6 linked regions of the Nothobranchius furzeri genome follow. The protein of the gene in region 1 purifies or fractionates together with the protein of each later gene. This does not show direct contact. Links are inferred from orthologs where the notes say so. Each region holds a gene or a part of one and is shown in the gene's direction. Other genes may lie near its edges.

Region 1 (3,500 bases):
GCCCGTACTTCCCACTTTGTCTTCTTTGAGGGATAATAAATGTCCTGAGTGCTGCCGTCTCCTCCTTTGGCCATTATTTCAGCTTTAGCTTCAAGAAAGTTTTGGTTGTAAACAACTAAGCGTGCATGTGCCGCCGGCAACTTCAGCAGATGATACGGTGGCTGGTAAGGGTCACCGCGCCTACACCGCAGCCACGGTAAACCCACCGAGATAATATAGTTTTTAAAAACAAGACGGTTATTATTATTGTCAACTTTTTTACGGGGTTTACTGCTACACCGGTTACCCTGACAACCCTAGTTGTAAGTAAATTTGATTTATATAACACTTATCACAGGCAGAATCACAATCTTCACACAGATCAAAATAAAATATAATGATCTCAAAACAGAAATAAATTAACGTCAGAAAAAATAAAGTAAAACCAATGAAAGATTACTACAAGTGTCCAGACTGTCAATCCTACATAAGGATAAAGGAAGATCATTCCAGAGCCGGGGTGCAACAGACTGGAAGGAGCATCACCTAGACTTTTGTATCTGGCCTTTGGAACTTCTAGAAGGTTCTGGTGGGTGGACCTGAGGGCTCGGGTTGGAGCATAAGGCTTTAACAGTTCAGTAATATAGGGAGGAGCTTGACCATGTAGAGCCCTGAAAGTTCTAGTCAGGATTCTAAAATGACTCTAAAGGTAACAGGTAACCAGTGCAGAGACATCAGAATAGGAGTGATGTGAGCTCTTCTGTTTGCTCCAGTTAGGAGCCTCGCTGCAGAGTTCTGGACCAGCTGAAGGCGGTCAAGGGCTTTTTGTTAAAACATGTGAAGAGTGTGTTACAGTAATCTAGACGGGAGGAGATAAAGGCATGGAGAACCATTTCTAGTTCGTGTTTCGACACCAACCTTTGCAGTTTAAAGATATTAAGTGATGAAAACGGTTCCGGACCAATGTTTTTGAGTGGCCTTCAAGAGACATTGATTGGTCAACAACGCCCAAATTCCTCAAGGTTGTCTCCATATTATGTCGGAGCTTTTCCTTGGTTTGTACTTGTTATTAATGAGTTTGTCTCTAAACTGAGATTTCTTCATCCAGTAATTGTTTGTCTCTGTTGAGGTTTCTCAGGGGGAGAGCTCAGTCAAGCCTGCAGCTGAAGACATGACATCAAAGGACTACTACTTCGACTCTTACGCCCACTTTGGAATCCACGAGGTACGTTTAGTTTGGTACCTAAAACATTTTCTGAATTTAAAACCATTAAGCCTATTTGATGTAATAGTTGAGACCTCATCATGTGTTGATCTCAGTTTCTCTCTGTTGTTGCACCTTTCCTTTCGCGTTGCTGTAGGAGATGCTGAAAGATGAAGTTCGCACTTTGACCTATCGCAACTCCATGTTCCACAACAAACACCTTTTTAAGGACAAGGTGGTTCTGGACGTGGGCAGCGGGACGGGCATCCTGTGCATGTTTGCTGCCAAAGCGGGGGCCAAAAAGGTTATTGGGGTAGGTGTTGTCTGGCAGCATGTGTATCTGTCACTGGGAGCATGAGCAGCTCACCTGTCTTTGCTTGAATAGATCGAGTGCAGCAGCATCTCCGACTATGCTGTGAAGATAGTGAAGGCCAACAACCTGGATGATGGTGAGGAGATGGTTCACATGTGGTGCTGCTCTTCTGGCTTACGGGAAGGTGGATGATTGAAGTAGGTCTTCTTTTCTCTCCAGTTGTGACCATCATCAAAGGGAAGGTGGAGGAGGTGGAGCTTCCAGTGGACGGCGTGGACATCATCATCTCCGAGTGGATGGGCTACTGTCTGTTCTATGAGTCCATGCTCAATACAGTCATCTATGCCAGGGACAAATGGCTGGTGCGTGTTTGTTAGAGCCAACGTGTTAAACTCAATCCCAGAGTCTAACCCTGAGATTAGACACTCCACCTACTCTTGGCGGGTTTTCTTTTACATACCTTGAGTTCACACCTTCACTTTTTAACAAATCAACTGATCTGAAAACAGATTTTGGTCGAGAGGACTTTCTTGATCCTCAGATAATTTCTCTCATTTGTCCCAGAAACATTCTCCGCCTCTTGTTCAGTCCAACTCTGGTTAGATCTGGAATGTAAACGTTCGATCTTAAACATTGATGGGTCCGAGTGAATAGACAGTGGTGGCTTGATGCTGGGGGTTTTAATGCCTCCACGTTGAACCAATCACTGGCGGGCTGTAAATCAGCTGTTTTAAGACCTGGTGTTTGTTGATCGAAGTGGAACCAGTGGAGTTGTGTGTTCAGATTGATTCGGACAGCTTCTCATTAAGGATCAGCTAATCGGCTTAAAGTGCTGCAGTTTGTTTAGCTGTGGTTGCCTTGGTGACTCCAGGTATCTGGGCACTGTAGGGTCACTAAACTGAAACCAAAAACTAGAGTGTCCCTCCCGGTTTTAATGCCTCTTTACTCCTGTCCCTCCAACAGAAACCAGATGGACTCATTTTCCCAGACAGAGCTACTCTGTATGTCACTGCCATAGAAGACCGACAGTACAAGGATTACAAGATCCACTGTGAGTACCTGGGGACTGCTGACCTTATTTTGAGTTGTGCCATTAAAGCAAAGGACGCTCAGATCACCCAGTCATTATGGGGCGATCTCTGGCAAATTAGTTGATAGGGATGTTTTCCAAATAGTCTTTCTCAATTAATTCCTGATACTCTGACATCTCACCTCTGATTGGTTGGTCTCTCAGTGAACTTGCTAATGATGGAGGCCCACCCTGCTAGTTGCAGGAGACAGCCATTTTTTTCATGTCCCACTCAGAGATTACTCTGAAATGAAACCGTTTACTTTCCCCTCCTAAATGAAATGGGATTTCCGGCCCCGCCCACAACCAATTCAAAACGAGACTGCCTGCATGTTCCCTGACTGTTTGCAAGAAAACAGAAGGGTCAGGCACTGGTCATTAGGCGCATGCGTGATGACGTTTAAAATGGCGGTGCCCATAGAGAAACCGACAGGAAGTCAGCACTGTGCATGCGTGAATGTGTACAGTGAGTAAAACGCCCCAGAGAGCCAAGAAACACTTAAGATGGGTGAAAAGGCTCCAGCTACCGGGGGCTTTGCCCCTTCACCCTCGCCTAAGGCGACCCCCACACCCCCGGCCCTTTTCAGGTTTTTGTTTTCACTTAAAAACCACATCCCTGATTTTACTAGTTTTTACAAATACTTTTATACAGGGTGTCCGCGGGTCCTTAAAAAGTCTTAAATTTACTTTTCCAAATTTAAGGCCTTGAAAATCCTTAATGACAAATAATCCTTAAATAAAGTTTCCAAAGGTCTTAAATTACCAAAGACCCATTAAACTAGATTATTTTATTTCTGTAAAGTTTTCGTGAATTTCTAGTTGGTGTTCAGCATTTTTTGTGTATGACATTGGCGTAAGCGGAACCGTACACATTCAGTTGGTTGTGAAAGGGGGCTATTTTTAGATGAGCACATTAGCTTGTTAAGCTAGTGGGA
Region 2 (3,950 bases), on another chromosome or scaffold:
TTCATATTTTAAAATTTTCTTGAGCCAGTGTGTGCTAAAACAACCCTGTACAGGGTTAATGAAATGTCACTCAGACCCCGACCACCCTCTATGGCCAGAATGTCGCACTTGCAACTTCAGAGTTGGACTTGTGGAGCTGACATGCCTGGTGCTGCAGTCTGCTTCCTGCATGTTTTAGATCATAAACACTGCTGGTTTGGTCAATTTAGTGATGAGCTGCTCCTGTAGAAATTAAGGAAGGATGGGGAGACATTATTATGGATTAAGGTGTTTAAAAAGGTGAATGCACAGTTTCACTTTTGGTTTTACTAACAGAACACTAGGGGCTGCTAAAAGCAACCCAAAACTGGTTAGTTGTGCAAAAAAAAAAAAAAAAAAAAGCAAAAGTTTAGAAATCTAAGGGGTCAGTAGCCATCACCAGTTCTGTGTAACTGCTTAAAGAGCAAGTCACCCCCTACCAGAGTATTACTCCGCTCCCACTTCCTGTTTGAAAAATGCAACAAATTCTGTTGCCTAGCAGACCAAGAGGGCGGGCCCGCTAACAAATACACACACACACAACGACATTGTGACATCATATGCTACCAGCTAACGTTCTAGGGTACCCCTTTGCCAATAACGATGGCAGATTTAAATTCAAATGCAGTGCAGAGTTTTTACCTGACAACGGCACAACACTCACAGTTTTAGGCAGAAAATTTAAATTTTAACTTAAATGCACAAAAGTGCAAAACTACACGTGTCTGCAGCACGGTTAGATACGCATTTATATAGTTTATCAGAAAAAAGTTGATCTGGGAGTGTCTTGCTCTTTAAACACTTAACTATATTATTTTAAAATCCTTGACTTTGTGAAAGTTTCTTTTAAGAATTGATGATTGATGTGGTTTAGTTTTTCCCGGTTATTTCTTCAGTTTACAGTTTTAGTTTCGATCAAATGTTATATGTCATATTTGTCAAAAAAATATTTATTTATTTGTTCTGTATTTTACCACATCTGTGTAGAACTTTTGCACAATTCGCACATTTTCCTGTCAAGGTTTCTTTTAGATACATGCTCCGCCCGGTTCCGCCTCATCGTCGACAGTAGAGGGGATCACGTTCACGTACTCACGTCAGGCTTACGTAGAGAACGTCGTGTTCTACTACTTGTGTTTAGCAGCTGCTACAAGAATCAGACACCGTTGAGCCTTGAAAGGGACAGGGAGAGGGACCGACCGTGTCTAGGGTGTAACATTCTTAATTTGTTCAAAGTTTAGCGTTATTGGGGCAGCAAAATGACCGATAAGATGGATATGTCTTTAGACGACATTATCAAACAGAGCAGGCAGCAGAGAGGTGGAGGCCGGGGAGGAAGAGGCCGTGGCCGCGGAGGCACAGGCAGCGGCCGGGGTGGAGGCGCTGGGCGACTCGGAGGCGGCGGCGGAGGCTTTGGAGGCCGAGGCGGTGGATCCGGCCCCATGAGGAATCGACAGAACCTGAGTCGCGCTAGAGGCAGACCTACGCCTTACAGCAGGGTATGAGAATGTTAGAGGAATAAGCAGAGAAATGTTTTCATATTGTGTCCCTTCTCCCGCAACCCAAATGTGTAACGCACGTCGAGCTTCAACAGCCTACGGAAGGAGTGGAGGCCCTCAGCGCCATTTTGAATCCAGCCCCGCATTGTGAAGCTAGTCGTCAGTGAGTGCTCAGTGAGAGGTATCCTGGCCACGGTGGTGAAAGAAACCCACTTCGTCAAGAGTATCACTCGAAAGTGTGTTTTCACTGCTTGTCGGAGCGGGATATGTGCTCAAGTTCCCGCCAGCGCAGCGACCAGGCGGCCTTTTGTTCGGGGAGTGGGTTCTCAAGCCCTCTGGTGGCTTTTTCTACCAGTTTGCCTGTTACTTGTGGATGGAAAAGCGGACTTTTACTCCTCTGTTAGTGCCCAAACAAAACCGGTTCTTCGTCTTTTAAAGTGTGATCGAGTTGGTAGCGAAGCCAAACAAAGCCCCAGTCAAAATGGCGTGGTTTCAAAATGGACGCTCACGCAGAGGGGAGATCTGGCCATTTTCACTCCTCATCCAGCACACGGACTCTTCCCCTACTGAGAACTGTTCTGAGGTCCAGGACACAAAGTACCAGCGCTGGAGACGCCGCTGCATCGAACAGGAGTCCCCGAGTGTCCCGAGGAGCTGGCTTTTCTGGAGGGAGGCGCAGATGGCGAGAACAATGGGCATCTCTGGTAGCTAGTCTGAGGAGTTTTACAGGTTTAGCATCAAGTCTGTGGGTTTGGGTTTAAGAAATATCTGTGATGGTAATACTTAGGTTTCTGGAAAGGCTCGTTAGTCTATTCTAGGGTTTATTTCACTAGAAACCCAGAACAGGACTGTTGAGTTTTGTTTTTATGGTTTTGTTTTTAATCCATTTACTACATCAAACTTGGATCTAAAGAATACATTTTTATTTTAAGTGGGCTTTAATGGGACCATTTTTCTTTAGACAGTTGATTAGAGTGATTGAAACAAGTGGCTCCCAGATCTTTTAACTTCTGATTTACAAGATCTGTGATTAAAAACCTTCATTATTCATGACGGACACGTACAAATAGCCAATAAGACAATTACATTAGGACAGGAAGATGACTCCATCCACTTTCACCAAGACTAAACGCTTGTCAGTTGGTCTGTTTAGATGTTTTCTCTTCATATATGTCAATTATTTTTAAATTTGATAATCTCAACATTGGTGTCCTGTCCTAACTTTGGGAACCAGTGAGTTTGAACTAGGGATGCACCGATACGATACTGGTATCGGCACCGATACCAATACCAGTATCGGTGAAAGTTAACCAATACCAGGAACCGATACCAATGCAGTTGCTTGAAAATGGCTTCACTGTAACTTGTCATTTCTGTTCACCTAATATTTTAGTTTTGTGATGATTTCCATTCATATATTTTACTTTTTATCTACCTCACAGTCTTTTCCTGTTGAAAGCAGAGAAGAAAGTAAAATCTGCATTCCAAATCATTGCATTTTTTTTTTTTTTGTGTGGTAGAAGTATCTGTATTGGTATCGGCGAGTACTAAGATCGGTTTGGAAAAAAGTGGTATCGTTGCATCCCTAGTTTGAGCATGTTTTTACTAACTTAAATCAGTATGGACTTTATTGTGATGTTTGTACACATTCCGATTTAAGATGGCCCAACATTGGTGTGTTAACGTTTAAAAAAGTTCAAAATTTGAATCGAAGCGAGACTACTACAAATCCCCTTGCTTTTGAGTATTTGTGTGCACGTCCCTTTGAGCTGATGCACTTGCTCGTTGTGACGGGGTGGGCAGGGAATACTGGGGACCCCCCCCCCTCTAAAGGGAGCTGAGCACCATGTTGGAAGTGGAGCCCCCTGCTTGCCCCAACAGCCAGCCGTGTGGACTCAGTGATGGGCAGAGGCAAGGGGATCCTGAAGTCAGCAGGTGCGTTCTCTTTCATCTGTTGCAGCCTAAACAGCTCCCAGACAAGTGGCAGCACGACATGTTCGACAACGGCTTCAGTGGCTTCAATGGTGCTGCTGGGGGTGGCGGGGGAGCTGGTGTGGAAACTGGAGGGAAGCTCCTCGTCTCCAATCTCGACTTCGGTGTTTCCGATGCAGACATTCAGGTACTCCAAAATCCGCGCTTCACTGGTTGGTTGTGTTTTATGGCTTGTTGCTGTCTTAGACTAATCTTGGATGTACTTTTTCAAGGAACTTTTTGCGGAATTCGGAACTCTGAAGAAAGCTGCAGTTCATTACGACCGGTCGGGAAGAAGCTTAGGAACAGCAGATGTCCACTTTGAAAGGAGAGCTGACGCTCTAAAGGCCATGAAACAGTACAACGGCATCCCACTGGATGGTACGCTTCAGACCTTGTTTACATTTTTCTGGTTTGACATGACTAAATAATTCAAACTTTCTTGAGTGTTCAACCCCCTTT
Region 3 (3,657 bases), on another chromosome or scaffold:
GGGCTCGACTCCGTACGGACTTGCGTGCCTGCCGGATCCCTACGCAAGGACGGATAATGGCGTTGCGTGTCTCCGCACTGACGCAGACGGAGAAGCATAAATCAGGCTTAAAGCTGTGTTCAGTAGGGAAAAGGGCACAAGTTAGCAAAGGTCTGATGGGTTCTCAAGTCAGAAAGATTCTGTTCTGGTTTTATCAGTGAATTATCATTGAAACCAAACCCAAGCCTGACAGAAGATGCATTTGCTGTTTGGGAAGTACAGTCCTGATCAAAAGTTTAAGACCATTTGAAAATGGCCAAACGTCGTGTTTGTTTGGTTGGTCATTAACAAGGTCCCAAGTAGAGCTTCAATGTGCAACAAAAAAGAAATGGGAGTGAGACAACGATCAAATCGAAACGAGCTGCTTTATAGCTGATAAAAGGTTTAAAGAACAAGTTCACTGAGAAACCATTTTTATGTGTTATTTTTTTAAATGATTGGTCACTCTGAGTTTCACATGCAGGCTGAATATGTGAATAGTCTTCTACCCCTTTTTCCTGCATTAGCCGATAGAAAACAGACGAGGAAATTCTCAGGTTAGCAAAGCCAGTCAGATCTACCTCACAGTAAGTTAACATTCATGGACTCGGCCATCTTGGCTCAAGATGGGGAAGGCAGTTGTTGGTTTAGCATTCAGGAGAGACTAGAGCTTGCCTTGGCTAATAGAAGCTAACTGTTAGCATTAGCTGCTACTCTATACAGTAGAACTCATTCATTTATGGAGGTAAAACATCAATGATGCAAATCAAACAAGGTTAGTGGTAGAGTTGTGTTGCTGTTAGCCAATCAGGGGTGAGATGTCCAAATAGTCTTGTTGTACCCTTAAGCCGGGCGGACACTGTGCGACTTTTTCACTCGTAGCACTCAGCTTCAGCTCAAACTGTACGACTTCCTCACAGAGCAGATCTCACGAGTCGTGCGCTCACACTGCACGACCCAGTTCTCGGATGCGATCTGACTGCTCACGCTGTACGTCTGGTAGCAACACGTCGGCCCTAAAAATGTGCTAAAAATAGCAGTTTTTACACAACACGTCAGACTTTTTTGTCTTGTTTTGCCTGTTGTCCTTCGGGAGTGCTGCAGGGGGACACACAGGGATTTATGGGGGTTGGATGAGGAAAACAAAATAAAGAAAGTAAATCTGTGTTTTGTGATCAGTTTAATTTGACATGAACACGACAAACACGCTTTCTTGACAACCTTTGTGAGTAAAAAAAGTGTAGAAAATAAAAACGAACAACGTGTGTTATTAGGGAAATAGCGGGCGAGCGGTGTTGATGCATGCATGTGCCGTGAGCGGTTCTGGTACTTTTTGGGTCGCAGCTGCTCGCAGCGCCGCTTCAACAGTGCGATACCCTCACGAGGGACGAGCAAAATATTAAACACGCCAGAAGTCTGTGCGAGCTCACGATTGCTGATCGGTAGCTGGTCACGTGGTGTTAATCGCCTCTCGTAGCCCCCTGTACACGACGCTCAGCGCAAAACTCGCCCCGATCTCGTGGATTCTCGCACGAGTGGAAAATCGGCTCAAAAAAGTGAAAAAGTCGCACAGTGTACACCCGGCTTAACCTGAGCTTTCCACTGGATGCATAAGTGACGCGGTTCCTCACGAGCTCAGCGGTGCATATCGTCTCACCGGGAGATTTTCTGACATGAAGCGGCAGTGAATGTGTCACAGCTGGACCCACAACGTTACAAAATCACAGGAAAACGCTAGATCAAGCATGATTTCAGCGGTTCACGTGATAACAAGCATGGAGAAAGATGGTAACGGTATCCTAGCAGGTCTGTGGTGTACTTACTGTTTACCTCAGTCACAGAGGTTTTACAGGTAAATATAATAGAAGCTAAGTGCTACGTACTACGCTTTGTGGACATTTTGTGACGCTCGCGCGTCTGATGGAAAGCTGGGATAACAAGCTGGACCTACTCTTGCTTCGCTTTATTTGTGTTCCTGATTTGTTGCTGTGACCGATCCTTCTGAACCACCAGAGCCTAAAGCAACGTCTGGGGAAAGGCAACATCCAGGCCCGGCTGGGCCGGCCCATTGGGCCTCTGATGCGGGGTGGACCTCCTGGAGGAAGAGGAGGCATGCGGGGGATGACCAGAGGAGGCCTCAGAGGGGGTTTGAGAGGAGGGATCATTCGTGGGGGTCTGTCTTCTCTGAGGGGTAGGTGTCCGTCAGCGTGGAGATGGTAGGGGTGTTTCCTCTCAGCTGAGCAATCACATTGTGTTAAACAGCCAGGCGAATGCCTACAGGTGGACCTATGAGAGGTCGGGGGGGCATCGGACGCTTCCCCATGCGTAGAGGAGGTCGGCATCGTGGAGGAGTGGCAGGAAGAGGAGGAGTTCTGTCTCGAGGAGGAGGTCGAGGTGGAATGCCCAGAGGCCGGGGTAGAGTTTGTATTTATTAGTACAATCGTTTGATGACTCGTGTCTTTTTTTTTTTCACTGTCTCACTGATGATGTTCTGTCTTCAGGCCGTGGTGGACTTCGTGGACGTGGGGGATTTGCTGGTCGTGGGGGCCGCGGCCGTGGGCGGGGCAGAGGACTTGGCCGGCCCACCGTTACAAGGGAACAACTGGACAATCAGTTGGATGCGTACATGTCAAAGACCAAGGGACACTTGGATGCAGAACTGGATGCCTACATGGCCCAGGCAGATCCCGACAGCATGGAGTGACGGCCCAGCGAGACCAGAGCTGAAGACTGGGGCGTAGCGTCAAGTGGTGTTGCTGCACCCTGTTGTTTAGCCGTGCATCCACCTGCTGCTGAAGAGCCAATCAGCTGATGAATAAACTCAAGGGGACTTTGACCCTGATGTCCACGGACTTCCTGTATGAAGTTTTAGTCAAACAGGTGTTTGGTGTAAACTGTTTAGTTTTTCTTAGTTTTTCCTCAAACCTCCAGAGTTTCTTTGGCTCATCTTAAACTTGCAGTGGAAACGTTTTTTAAAATGATAATTTTACAAGAATTTTAAGACGAGTCATTTTCTCTTATATTTGACAGGGAAAGAAGTGCTCAGGCTTTGGGTTGTTTGTATTCCGTGAAGCTGACAAGATGTTTGTTTTAAAATTATTTCCCAAGTTGTGTTAAGGAAATAAAATGATGAATGAGATATTTTCTGATTCATGTCAAACATTTAAGGCCTGTAGGTGTTCTGGAGCATGTAGAAAAGCAGATGTCCTGGTGTGATCTTAGCTTTTGTTCTGCGATTGGTGCCCACAGGGACATGGTTTCCATGGCTGTGTCTCACTGGGAAAACGTCACCAGTTAGAAGGTTGGACGTTCAAACCTAAGACCTACAAACTTCTCTATACTACATCCTGTGAACCATGTGTGTGTGCGCACATACCTAAAGGATTATTAGGAACACCTGTTTAACTTAATGCAATTATCTAATCAACCAATCCCATGGCAGTTGCTTCAGTGCATTTAGGGGTGTGGTCCTGGTCAAGATAATCTCCTGAACTCTTAACTGAAGGTCAGAATAGGAAAGAAAAGTGGTTTAAGCAATTCTGAGCGTGGCATGGTTTTTGGTGCCAGACGGGTCGGTCTGAGTATTTCACAATCTGCTCAGTTACTGGGATTTTCACCCACAACCATTTCTAGGGTTTA
Region 4 (3,929 bases), on another chromosome or scaffold:
TAGGGTGGAAAATAAAAAATTATGTTCTATAGAATCAAAAGCTTTGAAATAGTCTATAAATAAAATGAGGCTGTCCGTTTCCAAAATAGACCAATAATCCAGTATATCCAGTACTAATCTCACATTATTATGTATGCTTCTTCCTTTTATAAACGCAGACTGATTATTATCTACTATTTTATCAATTACCGTTTTCAGTCTTTCTAATAGCGCTAATAATTTATAATCATTGCACAATAGAGTAATTGGCCTCCAGTTGTCTAAGTCTGTTGTATCTTTTTTTGGTTTGGGAAGAAGGGTTATTATTCCAGTTTTCATTGTTGGGGTAAGACATCCTTCATTTATACACTCATTAAATGTACTTAATAACAATTCTTGAACATCTTCCCAAAAAAAATTAAGAAATTCTGAGGTCAATCCATCAATACCGGGCGATTTCCCATTTTTCTTTTTTTTTCAGGTAATTTTCTACTTCGTTAATATTCAAATCATCCTCCAGATTTTTCCTGTCTTCCTCTCCAATAGATTTAATATTGTTCTTTATCTGAGTGAAGAAGGATTTACATTCCTCCTCACAGAAATTAGAACAATATAGGTCTGAGTAAAAACGTTGAACTTTCTCCTTTATTTGATTTTGGTCTACTATTACAGTGTCATTTTTTTAAATTTGCATATTTTCTTTTTGGATTGTCTAGACTTTTCTAATCCATAAAAATATGTTGAGTTCTTTTTAGTGCAACTTAGTATGATGGGTATGATCTGACAAGCTACGGGTGGCGTGGCGCTGTGGCTCATCCTTCATTAATTTAATTGAAAACATCTAAAGGTTGGAAAAGTAATAACACCACCCTGCAGTTTAACTCAACTGTGCCACCTTGTTGTAATCATTTTTTAATCAGTCGTTTAGTCGTTTATGCCTAAGTATCGCCCGAAGCTTCCTCGTGAACAACCAGTGGCAGTGGCGTTACAGGATCTGCTCGGGAACACACCGGAAATGAGTGCTACGTCGAGGTCTGTTCGCCCATGTATTATGTCGTATTCATGTCCATGCATAAAACAAGCCTCGATATTTAATGAAGTATATATATCAGGAGGCTTTGTTGTTTCATGTGTGTTCTTTTACATTTTAGCCAGGGATACGTGGAAAGGAACCACACTAAATAAGTAGTGGAACCATTGAAATGTATATAATCTAAACCAAAGCCATTTTGGAGGGGACACATATCAACGTCACACAGACCATTCATCCGGCATTTGCGTTTGCTTTGGTTGTTTTGGTCGAATGTGAGTAAAAAACAATTTGAATATTAACTGTCTTTATTCTCGTTGCGTTTCTTACTTGGGTTAGAAGGTATGTCGGTGAAAACGTAAACGGTGTGTCTACAGTTGGCTAGAAGCTAATGCTAGGCGCTAATCTCATCGGTTCACTCACGTTAAAGCTGAAAACGTTACCTCAGTTTGTACTCTTGACGGAATGTAGCTCGTTGTAACCATCGACATAAATATACGTTGTAACACGCTGTTATCTTTATTATAAGTAAATAGCAATAATTAAAGCTTGCATTTTACATCAAACCCTTCCGGCATGTTTGCTAACGGTAGCTAATTAAAAGGCACGAGAAAAAACAGTCCGATTCAAAACAAGTGTTTGAGTTTCATTATAAGATCCAGATGCCCCGCCTGATTGCCCATTGACCGCTGGAGATGGGCACCAGACCCCCGCGATCCTACGTGGACAAAGCGGGTTCAGACAATGGATGAATGAATACGATCCAGAACCACCATAGAAGTAAAGATGTCCATGGAAACAGCGGACACAGAGTTTCAGGCTAAACTCCAGCGGACGTGATGTTCATTAATCCCCTAAAGGCAGTTTGGTTCTAATTCTCCTGCTCGGAATTTTTTTTCCTCAACAAAGATCATTTTATCGTTTAAGCTGCCACCGTTAATCACATTTATTCTGATCTGCTCGCTCGTCTTGTCCAGCTGAGGCAGATGTTTTATGTATTAGTGAGGATGCATCTGTACTTTAAAATGTTTATGTAATTCTTAAGACCAGAGAGTCCACAGAGGAGGAAAGTCCCCTTCCTGTCAGTCCACCATGGCGGACATCAAGAACTTCCTCTATGCCTGGTGTGGGAAGAAGAAACTGACTCCAAGCTACGATATTCAAGCTGCAGGAAACAAAATCAGGCAGAAGTTTAAGTGTGAGGTGAGTCCTCCACCTGGTTCACCTGAGGATGCCGTCTCTCTCCCTCTTTATGGTTCTGACCATAAACACTCTGTGCCTGCAGGTTCGTGTTGATGGCTTCAACTACACAGGGATGGGGAACTCCACCAACAAGAAGGATGCTCAGACCAACGCAGCCCGGGATTTTGTCAATTATCTGGTCCGAATTGGACAAATGAGTGCAGCTGAGGTTCCTGCTCTTGGGGTCAGTTCTGTTTAGTTTTTACTCTGAATGGTTTTTGTGTTTACAAACATTCACACTGGTGATGTAGGCTTAGGGTTTCCCAGAGGGATGCACCAAAAATGTTGGCCACCAAAACATTTGGCTGAAAATGACCCGAAGGTGCTTTTTCTGTTTTTTAGCCGAGACAGACCTCCGCCCTCATGTGGCAACTTGCTCTTTGCTTCATAAAAATCATACATTCGTACTGATTTCAAAAGGATAGTAAAGTTTTCTTCTTTTTAGTAATGCTGTTTTATTCCGATCACTGAAATTATCATATCGATTATATATGCAACACACTTTAACTGTTTTCACATCTACCGCGTCTGCCTGACTTTTTTTTTGCTCTTTGACATTCCCCTATATCTGTCACTATTAGCGATGTTCCTTTCTGCACCCAAATATGTCCTGAACAGTGAAATAAGCTTTGGATCGTGTGTGTGAGGCGTGTTTACACTCATGAAGCACACAGACACTGTTGCTGCTGTGCAGCTGCAGTGTCTCTTTCTTCCTCACTGAGAACGAGTGATTGTCTTTATCCGAGGGTGAATATTACTCTTCAGAATCAGTCGGCCATTACCAGACAACTTTGTCAACAGTTAACTCTATGTACTCCGAACACTTTAACAGAAACACCAGAAAGTGTTACTCAGCTTGAAGTTACACTACACTGTCTTTTGGTGTAAAGTAAGAACTTCATGAGGGATTATATTTGCAGCTGTGGCTCGTTAAACACAATATTTCGACTTTGGCACCTAAAGGGTTAATTATACGGCCTTTCTCAGCATGCCTGTCAGTTTTAAGTCTGTACATTTATAATTTGTAATATATCAGTTTATTGCCAGACTTGAAGTCCATTTTAAAAGAAAATAACATAATGATAAAAAAATAACATACAAGATAAACACAGGGAGAAAAAAAAAGATACCAATTAACATGAATACTAATAAGATCCTATATAAAACACAGGATATAACTGCAGCGGGAGTAAGGGACAACAAAACTAACTAGTTGAGATAAATCTACCCCAACATTTTAACCAGTGCTTTCTCAGCCTAGACAACTAACGAGAGCAGCTCACAGTGGGATGTGAATGCAACTATAATACTATTGGAAGATTCAGCCGTCTCATGAACTTGAATATTAAATTTCTTAGAAGCGCCTTAAATGTGCACACTCAGAAACTAACGTTTAACTAGCACTGCCTCCCCTGGGAATTTTGAAGAGGATTCTCATTGCATCGTTGTAGGCCACTTGTAGCCTGTGCAAGCTAGACTTTTATAGAATGACCACAGATGTGCAGTATATAGTGGTGTGCAGTATGCTTTAAATAATGCCACTTTAACAGGTGTGGAACAACTGCTACATTTCCCTGCAGTGGTGTTTGCTTGCACATATAGCTTGCCTGTAAATATCATCATCGTCACTCATATTGGCTGTGATAAAGTGTCCAAGATATTTTATCTTCTCACAGAC
Region 5 (4,240 bases), on another chromosome or scaffold:
CCATTCACCCATTCTGTCTGATTATTCCTAGCAAGAACAGCAATAAAAGTGTGAGGAGCTTTCATTTCTTCCCCTTTCTCCACATCCTGTAGGTCTCATAACAACAAACTTCAGGCTTCTTCGGTCTCTTAGAAAAATGCTGTGTAGAAAATGCACTCGCCAAGAAAACGGCTTTTCCAGACCGACTCTACAACACGCTGCCGGGCGACCGAGTCAACCAGCACTGCTGCTTTCACGGCGTTTTTCAGACAGAGCTGCCCTCTGCACGTTTTCAGCTGCAAGGCGGGCGTCTCGGGACCTGTCTTCATAAGAAGCTCTGCACTTGGGAGGAGGTGGTGCGAGGACAGCGGAGGCACTTCAGATAAAGTTTACTTCTGGAGCTGAGCTCTCGATTCCGTGTAATTTTCTTTTAACCCTTTTTTTTTTTTGTAAAAAAAATCCTCAGGCCTTTCTTGTGGTCTTCATGTCAGCTCATAACAGAAACTTCAAGACTGATGTACAATGGCTGAGCTTTACTGAGCATCATGTACCATGAGATTCGTCTGAATTCAGACGACTATCTTCCCCGCCACTCATTTCCACTTATCTTTTTAGTCTGAGGTGGCATGAAAGAAAGTTTACTAAATATTTGGACATCAGTAGTCATCTTGGTTAAACTTCTATATATCCTACTGAAAATATGGTAAAAGGCTATTGTAAGTGAATTTGCAGTAGTGACTGAGAAGTATGAAAATTATGTATTTGAAGGTTCCTGCCCTTTTTGTATAAAAATGAAATAAAAAATTCATCAGTTCTTGACTTGATTTTTTTGTGTTACAAATGAAAAATATCTGAACTACACTGCATCACTCTCAGCTCGTCCATAGGAATCTCCATCCCTGACTAAAAAATCTCAAAATTACAATATATATTTACATAATTACTATAAATGTGTCAGATTTGCTTAATTGTGTGTGCCTAAATGTAATCTGAATTATTTATACATTATTTTCCCCTGCTGTCTCAAACAGAAACCGATTCTGACTTTAATCTCAGAATCCTGACTTGGTTTCTCATAATTCTGAGAAAAAAATTATAAAAAATGAATACACACATTTAAAACACTATTAGACACTCATTTATACAGTTTATCAGCAAAAAAAGTTAATTTAGAGGTTACTTGCTCTTTAAATATTAAAAAAAAACCTCACTCGACTTTAGTAAAAGTTTGCTGCTCCGTTTTAAATTAGATTTAGTTTTTGGCTTTCGCTAACTTTGGTGTGTTGGACATTTATTTTCTAGCCTACAAGAGTGAAAAGATTTATTTTTAACACTACAATCTAACCCAACAAGCGCTGTTATATAAGTCTCGCGATATTCTCGTAACGTAACGACATTTCCGGTGCGTGTTATGAAATTTTTGAACAGTCCAATGAACGCTCAGGGCTCGACGTTTGGGCTCGAACGGGCCAATCAGAGGCGAGTCTAGTAGGAATTTAAAGGTCTGTGCGGTATTTTCTCCATATCACAACTGTTCCAGTCCAGGTGAGTGAGGTCTTGCTGCTCATTCGGAAAGTTTGAAACGTGTTTACGATTTCTTCCCCTTCTGTTTCGTCTGTCCAAGCCGTGATTTCACTATTTTAATTAACTAGCAATGAACTAATTTCAAACAGGAAGTAAAGCGCTCGGCGGTTTCTGACGGCTCATGGTGTCACGAGGCAGCTCGGAGCAAATCGATTAACCTTCGTGTGAAATAAACGTGTTTCCGCAGGAATTGAACCAACTTTGCATCTACTCAAGTCCACTAGCTTGAAAATGTCCGAGAACGTCGCACGTCTGAACAAATTCAAGAACAAAGGCAAAGACGTTAACGTAAGACTCGCTGCACCCAGCGTCAGTGATCGGGGTAGAATGCGCAGACTTGTGTTGAACTTGAATTCGTTTGAATCTGACGCAGGAGCTTCGGCGCAGGAGGGCTGAGGTGAACGTCGAGCTTCGAAAAGCCAAGAAAGACGACCAGATCTTCAAAAGGAGGAACGTGTGCACAGAACCGGAAGAGGCCACTTCTCCTCTCCAGGAAAGAACTCAGAACGGCCAGGTGAGACTTCAGGTGTCATTCGTTAAGGACGTGGTCTGCATCTTAAGCTGTAGGGGGGTGAATAGTCCCAGTATCTGGTGAAAGTTGCAAACCCCGAGCCTCGTACTTTGATTTTGAGCCCTGTTTCTTAACTTTTTCCACTAAATTATGACCCACTTTTGCCCCATTAGCAGAATTTAAGACAATGGACCGTGGAGGAGATCGTTACTGGGGTGAACAGCGGTAATCTGGAGTCTCAGCTTCAAGCCACCCAGGCTGCACGGTAACAGTCTTTTTTTTTAACGTTGCAAATTCCAAAGTAAACCAGTATTGATGCAGTAACTTCAACCGTGATGTTCTGTCATCAGGAAACTTCTGTCACGAGACAAGCGCCCTCCCATTGATCAGATGATCAGCGTTGGTCTGATATCCAAGTTCGTGGCCTTCCTCGGCCTGACGGACTGTCCTCCTATCCAGTTTGAGGCGTCCTGGGCTCTGACGAACATCGCCTCTGGCACATCGGATCAGACGGCTGCTGTTGTGGAGGGTGGGGCCATTCCTGCCTTCATTAACCTGGTCCTATCCCCCCACCAGCACATCAGCGAGCAGGCAGTCTGGGCTCTTGGAAACATTGCAGGTAAGTGCAGAGTTATTCTTTAGGCAAGTTTTTTTTTAACCTAAATAACTTAAATTTTTTTATTTGTATAGGTGATGGATCTGCTCTCAGAGATATGGTAATTAAGCACGGTGCTGTGGCACCTTTACTCAGGCTGCTGGAAGTTCCTGACTGGACTGTCTTTAGTGTAAGTCTTCTCGGATTTTACATTTTCCAAGAACTCCATTTGGGAAATGGTCGCATTCCTGTAATCGTTAATCCCTCCCGCCACTAGGTGGTGTCCTAACCCAATAAAATAATTCACCCCTTTAGTCTGACACCTGCTCTTCTGTTCTCTGTAGCCTGGCTACCTGAGGAATGTGACTTGGACTATTTCAAACCTGTGCCGTAACAAGAATCCTTCTCCTCCGATGAGTGCAATCGAACAGCTCCTACCTGCTCTCATTCGTCTCCTGCATCACAATGACCTGGAGGTGCTTGCTGATGCATGCTGGGCCGTGTCCTACCTGACTGACGGCTCCAACGACCGTATCGAGGTGGTGGTCCAGACGGGGCTGATTCCTCGCCTGGTGAATCTGCTCGGCTTTGAGGCGCTGTCTATAGTTGTAAGTAACTTTTCTGGCAAGTATGGTTTCTGTGGGCTTCAGCCGTCTTAAACCTCGTGTCCTTGCACTGAGACACAACTTGGACCCGGTTGTTAATGGATCATCCTCCCCCAGACTCCGGCGCTGCGTGCCATCGGAAACATCGTCACCGGCACAGACGAGCAGACTCAAGCGGTGCTGGACGCCAAGGCGCTGACCATGTTCCCTCACCTGCTGCGCCACAAGAAGCCCAACATCCAGAAGGAGGCAGCCTGGACTCTGTCCAACATCACAGCTGGGAAGGACACGCAGATCCAGGAGGTCATCGACGCAGGCCTCGTTCCATACATGGTGGAAATGCTCGTTCAGGTATGTCGTCGTGTCACAAGATTGTTGAGTAAACTTTATTTTTCTTCTAACAGTTTAGAAATATATTTTTATTTTTGCTTCTCCAGGGTGACTACAAAACTCAAAAAGAAGCGGTGTGGGCAGTTACAAACTTCACCAGTGGGGGCACTGTTCAGCAGGTGGTGTATCTGGTGCAGGTCAATGTTCTCGAGCCTCTTCTGAATCTGCTCTCCTCCAAGGACAGCAAAACGGTCCTCGTCATCTTGGACGCAATAACTAATATTTTCATGGTGAGCACATGTGTGAATGGACTGGATCAGCTGATTTCTCGTGTGTGGCTTCACGGTCCTGAAACTTGTCTGTCGGATTCGTCAGGCTGGGGATAAAATCGGAGAGGCCGACAAGCTGAGTCTGATGATCGAAGAATGCGGCGGACTGGACAAGATCGAGGCGCTGCAGTCTCACGAGAACGAGATGATCTACAAAGCTGCCCTCAACCTGATTGAGAAGTATTTCTCTGAAGAGGTGAGTGTGGCAGTGAAGGTGTGACCAGTTAAATGTTTGTTTGTCTCATGGACTCGTGTGTTTTTGTTTTAGGAGGAGGAGGTGCTGTGTGTGGCTCCTGAAGCTACAGAG
Region 6 (4,138 bases), on another chromosome or scaffold:
CGCTCTATGAGCTAGATACATTTGCCGACCCATCACTGGTTGAAAGGCAGTTTGCGTCTGTACATACATACATACATACATGCATGCATGCATGCATACATACATACATACATACATACATACATACATACATACATGCATACATACATACATGCGTACATACATACATACATGCATACATACATACATACATACATACATACATACATGCATGCATGCATGCATACATACATGCATACATACATACATACATACATACATACATACATACATACATACATACATACATACATACATACATACATACATACATACATACATGCGTACATACATACATACGTACATACATACATACAAACATACATGCGTACATACATACATACGTACATACATACATACATACATGCGTACATACATACATACATACAAACATACATACATACATACGTACATACATACATACAAACATACATACGTACGTGCGTACATACATACATACATACATACATACATACATACGTACATACATACATACAAACATACATGCGTACATACATACATACGTACATACATACATACATACATACATACATGCGTACATACATACATACATACATACATACATACATACATACATACGTACGTACGTACGTACATACATACATACATACATACATACATACATACATACATACATACATACATACATACATACATACGTGGTGCCTTGCAAAGGTATTCATACCCTCTGAACTTCTACATATTTTGACCACAAACTTCAATATTTTTATTGATATTTTCTTTGCTAGATCAACATAAAAAAGCACATAAGTGTGAAATGAAACATGGTTTTCAAAAATTTTAAGCAAATAAAAATATGAAAGTGTGTTGTGCATTTGTATTCAGCCCCCTGCATAAATACTTTGTGGACTCATCTTTTGCTGCAATTACAGCTGAATGGCTTTGGGGGGTGTCTCTTTGGGTTATGTCCCTACCAGCTTTCCACATCTAGAGCCTGAATGTTTTGCCCTTTGTTCAAGCAACAGGCGCAATAAAGGTAGAGGCAACAAAACACAGCTTGAAGCAGATGGTGTGATTAGATAGATTATTGATAATGAGTTGTTATTAGTCTACCTGGTCATCTGTAAATGATGTAAGGGGTTTGACAGTCTTGTTTTAGGTGCCCCGTTTAAACTTGGGGCACCCGTCTCTCATCTCTGCACTGCCCTGTTCTTGTTCCAGTTTTAATACCGTGGTGGCTCTGGCTCGACTGTGCTGCTTTTAGGATCATTACGGTAGTGGTTAGCGCTCTGCTCCCCCTCCCGCCGCCGAGGCTGGCTCATCAGCTCCCTCTCCGTTGGTGAAAGGTTGGATCGCGCGTAACGTTTGGCGTCGTTTCGAGCAACATCTACTAACAAAGTGCACGTTATTGTTTATTTGTCGACGTATTTTAGTAGTTTGTCGTTAAACGTCCACAATGAGCACGATTAACGTGAAGAAGCTTAAAGTAAACGAGCTAAAAGACGAGCTCAAGAAACGAAACCTATCAGACAAGGGGCTGAAGGCCGATCTGATGGACCGCTTGCAGGCCGCGCTGGACGAGGAGGCCCTCGCTGGAGACTCGGCCGCTCAGGATGTGGCGACGGACGAGCAGGCCGCGGACATCCAGGAGGGTATGGGGGAGGAAGAAGAAGGCCCGGTAGAGGAGAGCATGGAGGCCAACGAGGGAGAAGAGCCGGCGAATGACGGCGACGGGAACGGTGTGTCGGTGGACGAGGAGATGGGTGAGGGGGAAGAGGAAGGTGACGAGGAGGACGAGATGGATCCCATGCTAAAGGAGGATGTAGACGACATGGAGAAAATTGACACAGAAGATGGTGAGCCCGGCGATCACGCTACTGAGGGTGAGAAGAAACAATACGCTATGAAAATGATTTGTTGGATGAACCGTGGCTGGGTGTCATTTTGTGGGGGGAGGTGGGAACTGTAGCGTAGATTTGAATGCTTTTCCGTAAGGGAGGGGTAGCCGGTTGTTACCGCTTATCATGGCGTCCATGTTGAGTCAGTCAGCGTGATTCAGGCTAGTTAGCATTAGCCAACGCCTTGGTTACAATAATTTAAATGTACGATTCTCTAACCCAGTTTACCAACGGATAGTAGGTTAATTGACACGGACTAACTAAGGAACATGCTTATAAATAATTCTTAAGAAATTAATTTGTTATTTTTCTCTTGTGTCGCTTGATAGTAGCACGCTAGTTAGCATCGTTTTTCCTTTGTATCGGTCTGCGCTAGCTAGCCGTGTTAGCCATTTCAGAGGTTCCCATCACGCTTTAGTCGGTTTTCCTCTCGCCAAGGCTTCATCTGGACTACGTTTGATCAGCTCTAGTTCAGAACTACAGCACGTAGACGAGGCGGGAGGGGGCTAAAGTAATTCTTTAATACATATAAAAACTAAAACGTGTTCTGTTTTCAGAACAGGATCAGTTCTTACGTGCTCCAGTCGCAAAAACACAAATTACTGAAGACAATTTTAGTTTTTAGATTTTTTTAATGAGTGGGTCCAAACGTGGTCTAAATCCCCCATGCGTTACATTTTCTACCTCTGATCAACTAGGAGTGGCACACATTACTGATGAAGTTTTCTACAAGGACCGCTTCTGATCTGGTCCAGAGATCAGCAAGGCACCAGAGTCTGTCACCTTGCTTCATATGACTGGTTCTGATGTGGTCCCGTTATCAATAACACTTTAGTCTTACTGAATGATTAACGGTTTCACAAACTCCATTTGGTAGCACTTTTAGCTTTTAGCAAGGTTCACATCCCAGCTCCAGCCTTTCTGCATGGAGTTAGCTTGTTCTCCGCGTGCATGTGTGGGTTTCCATGGTTTCCTTCCGCAGGTCAGTGCATGTCAGCTTCAAACTGTTAGTCCAGATGTCTGCGTGTTTTTGGGCTGGACCACTTTGAGTTGCCCATAAGAACTAAATTGTCCCAGTCTTGGACTGTATGTGATTGATTAAATTATTAAAGATTCTATCTAGTGTAGACGAGTGAAGTCCAGAATCGTGTTTAGCCGGATCAAAAGCCAACACTAGCATCAGGTCTGGTTATGAGGTGCAGATGTTTGAAGGAAGAGCCTCAGCAGGCTGATGTAAAAGACCTGAAGCTGTATTTGGGTGTTAGTTTGGGTTATGAGCTTGGGAACCTCTGAACTTGCTAACCCAGCGCTTTGCAGAAGAACGGAGTGGCCTACAACTTTCCTGATACGTCCATCGTGTGTTTTCGATTTGAAATACAAGCGTGATATTAAAGGGTATACATACATTTTTATTTACATATCATCCTTTTCTTTAGCGGGGGGTGTCATTGGGCTTTAGGTAGGTTTCCCTGCATGGTTAACTCCCCCTGATGCAGTAGACCCTCATCTAGGACTAGAGGACTTGTATCTGAAGGGTTCTTACCCTTTCACGACCCCTTTTCCAGCCCCATCAAGCTCTGCTGCTGCTGTTCATTTGGGCCAGTTCATGCTGTAATTACTACCTGGTCTTACCAGTTGTTACAAGTCATGTAATATGATTGTACTGTTTTAAATGTAACTATGAGGTGTTTCCTCTTGGTAATCATGCTAGACGCAATGTAAATAATGAACGGGCTTCGTGGGCCAGAACCCCACTGCCAGTCCGACCTCTCTCTCTCTCAAAAAGGAGCACCTCATTCTATATCTTTGTTCTATTTTCAAAGGAGATGCGGACAAAGACACGAATGCTGATCAGAAGAATAAGAAGGGTGTTAAGAGACGCCGGGAGGAACATGGAAGGGGCTACTTTGAATTTATTGAAGAGAACAAATACAGCTGGTAAGGATGGGACAGAGCCGAGGTGGCCTTCAGCATCCCTGAAGCGCCATCCAAGCTTTGTTGAACTGTATTGGCTTTAAGTGCCAATGCACATAACTAGCAAGAGGTAAAGCCTCGTTTGAAGTATTCTATCATATATTTATGATATAACCTTTCACACATGTGTTTGAGGGTCATCCCTGAATAGCTAAAGCCTTACCATTTACCTTTTTACACTCACATTGTGTCTTTAACGACTGCATTCTGTAGCAGAAGTGCATCTATCAATCTCATATCTGTTC

The links.
Region 2: the proteins of prmt1 (region 1) and alyref purify together in Homo sapiens (affinity purification with mass spectrometry; 3 studies listed by BioGRID and IntAct, with this or other methods). This does not show direct contact. The link is inferred for Nothobranchius furzeri from reciprocal best matches to the Homo sapiens genes PRMT1 and ALYREF.
Region 3: the proteins of prmt1 (region 1) and chtopa purify together in Homo sapiens (affinity purification with western blotting; 7 studies listed by BioGRID and IntAct, with this or other methods). This does not show direct contact. The link is inferred for Nothobranchius furzeri from reciprocal best matches to the Homo sapiens genes PRMT1 and CHTOP.
Region 4: the proteins of prmt1 (region 1) and dhx9 purify together in Homo sapiens (affinity purification with mass spectrometry; 3 studies listed by BioGRID and IntAct, with this or other methods). This does not show direct contact. The link is inferred for Nothobranchius furzeri from reciprocal best matches to the Homo sapiens genes PRMT1 and DHX9.
Region 5: the proteins of prmt1 (region 1) and kpna2 fractionate together in Homo sapiens (co-fractionation; 3 studies listed by BioGRID, with this or other methods). This does not show direct contact. The link is inferred for Nothobranchius furzeri from reciprocal best matches to the Homo sapiens genes PRMT1 and KPNA2.
Region 6: the proteins of prmt1 (region 1) and hnrnpub purify together in Homo sapiens (affinity purification with mass spectrometry; 4 studies listed by BioGRID and IntAct, with this or other methods). This does not show direct contact. The link is inferred for Nothobranchius furzeri from reciprocal best matches to the Homo sapiens genes PRMT1 and HNRNPU.

Annotation. Positions count from the first base shown.
Region 1 is NC_091758.1:13,908,465-13,911,964, reverse strand, and holds part of prmt1 (protein arginine N-methyltransferase 1), read left to right. Parts: intron 1-1,108; coding exon 1,109-1,204; intron 1,205-1,340; coding exon 1,341-1,496; intron 1,497-1,568; coding exon 1,569-1,632; intron 1,633-1,715; coding exon 1,716-1,858; intron 1,859-2,459; coding exon 2,460-2,547; intron 2,548-3,500. UniProt on the Homo sapiens protein: Arginine methyltransferase that methylates (mono and asymmetric dimethylation) the guanidino nitrogens of arginyl residues present in proteins such as ESR1, histone H2, H3 and H4, FMR1, ILF3, HNRNPA1, HNRNPD, NFATC2IP, SUPT5H, TAF15, EWS, HABP4, SERBP1, RBM15, FOXO1, CHTOP, MAP3K5/ASK1, MICU1 and NPRL2.
Region 2 is NC_091752.1:50,607,744-50,611,693, forward strand, and holds the start of alyref (THO complex subunit 4), read left to right. Parts: upstream 1-1,150; 5' UTR 1,151-1,277; coding exon 1,278-1,517; intron 1,518-1,781; exon of another isoform or gene 1,782-2,014; coding exon of another isoform or gene 2,015-2,221; intron 2,222-3,477; coding exon 3,478-3,636; intron 3,637-3,721; coding exon 3,722-3,869; intron 3,870-3,950. UniProt on the Homo sapiens protein: Functions as an mRNA export adapter; component of the transcription/export (TREX) complex which is thought to couple mRNA transcription, processing and nuclear export, and specifically associates with spliced mRNA and not with unspliced pre-mRNA.
Region 3 is NC_091751.1:23,238,926-23,242,582, reverse strand, and holds the end of chtopa (chromatin target of PRMT1a), read left to right. Parts: intron 1-2,031; coding exon 2,032-2,209; intron 2,210-2,280; coding exon 2,281-2,433; intron 2,434-2,519; coding exon 2,520-2,722; 3' UTR 2,723-3,157; downstream 3,158-3,657. UniProt on the Homo sapiens protein: Plays an important role in the ligand-dependent activation of estrogen receptor target genes. May play a role in the silencing of fetal globin genes.
Region 4 is NC_091751.1:34,779,871-34,783,799, reverse strand, and holds the start of dhx9 (ATP-dependent RNA helicase A), read left to right. Parts: upstream 1-1,129; 5' UTR 1,130-1,284; intron 1,285-2,054; 5' UTR 2,055-2,101; coding exon 2,102-2,212; intron 2,213-2,294; coding exon 2,295-2,435; intron 2,436-3,929. UniProt on the Homo sapiens protein: Multifunctional ATP-dependent nucleic acid helicase that unwinds DNA and RNA in a 3' to 5' direction and that plays important roles in many processes, such as DNA replication, transcriptional activation, post-transcriptional RNA regulation, mRNA translation and RNA-mediated gene silencing.
Region 5 is NC_091752.1:67,643,898-67,648,137, reverse strand, and holds the start of kpna2 (importin subunit alpha-1), read left to right. Parts: upstream 1-1,440; 5' UTR 1,441-1,524; intron 1,525-1,750; 5' UTR 1,751-1,794; coding exon 1,795-1,851; intron 1,852-1,936; coding exon 1,937-2,077; intron 2,078-2,247; coding exon 2,248-2,339; intron 2,340-2,424; coding exon 2,425-2,693; intron 2,694-2,764; coding exon 2,765-2,859; intron 2,860-3,013; coding exon 3,014-3,277; intron 3,278-3,391; coding exon 3,392-3,625; intron 3,626-3,711; coding exon 3,712-3,894; intron 3,895-3,979; coding exon 3,980-4,129; intron 4,130-4,201; coding exon 4,202-4,240. Other genes in the region: nucleosome-remodeling factor subunit BPTF, read left to right, coding at 93-132.
Region 6 is NC_091742.1:29,998,752-30,002,889, reverse strand, and holds the start of hnrnpub (heterogeneous nuclear ribonucleoprotein Ub), read left to right. Parts: upstream 1-1,338; 5' UTR 1,339-1,477; coding exon 1,478-1,904; intron 1,905-3,742; coding exon 3,743-3,857; intron 3,858-4,138. UniProt on the Homo sapiens protein: DNA- and RNA-binding protein involved in several cellular processes such as nuclear chromatin organization, telomere-length regulation, transcription, mRNA alternative splicing and stability, Xist-mediated transcriptional silencing and mitotic cell progression.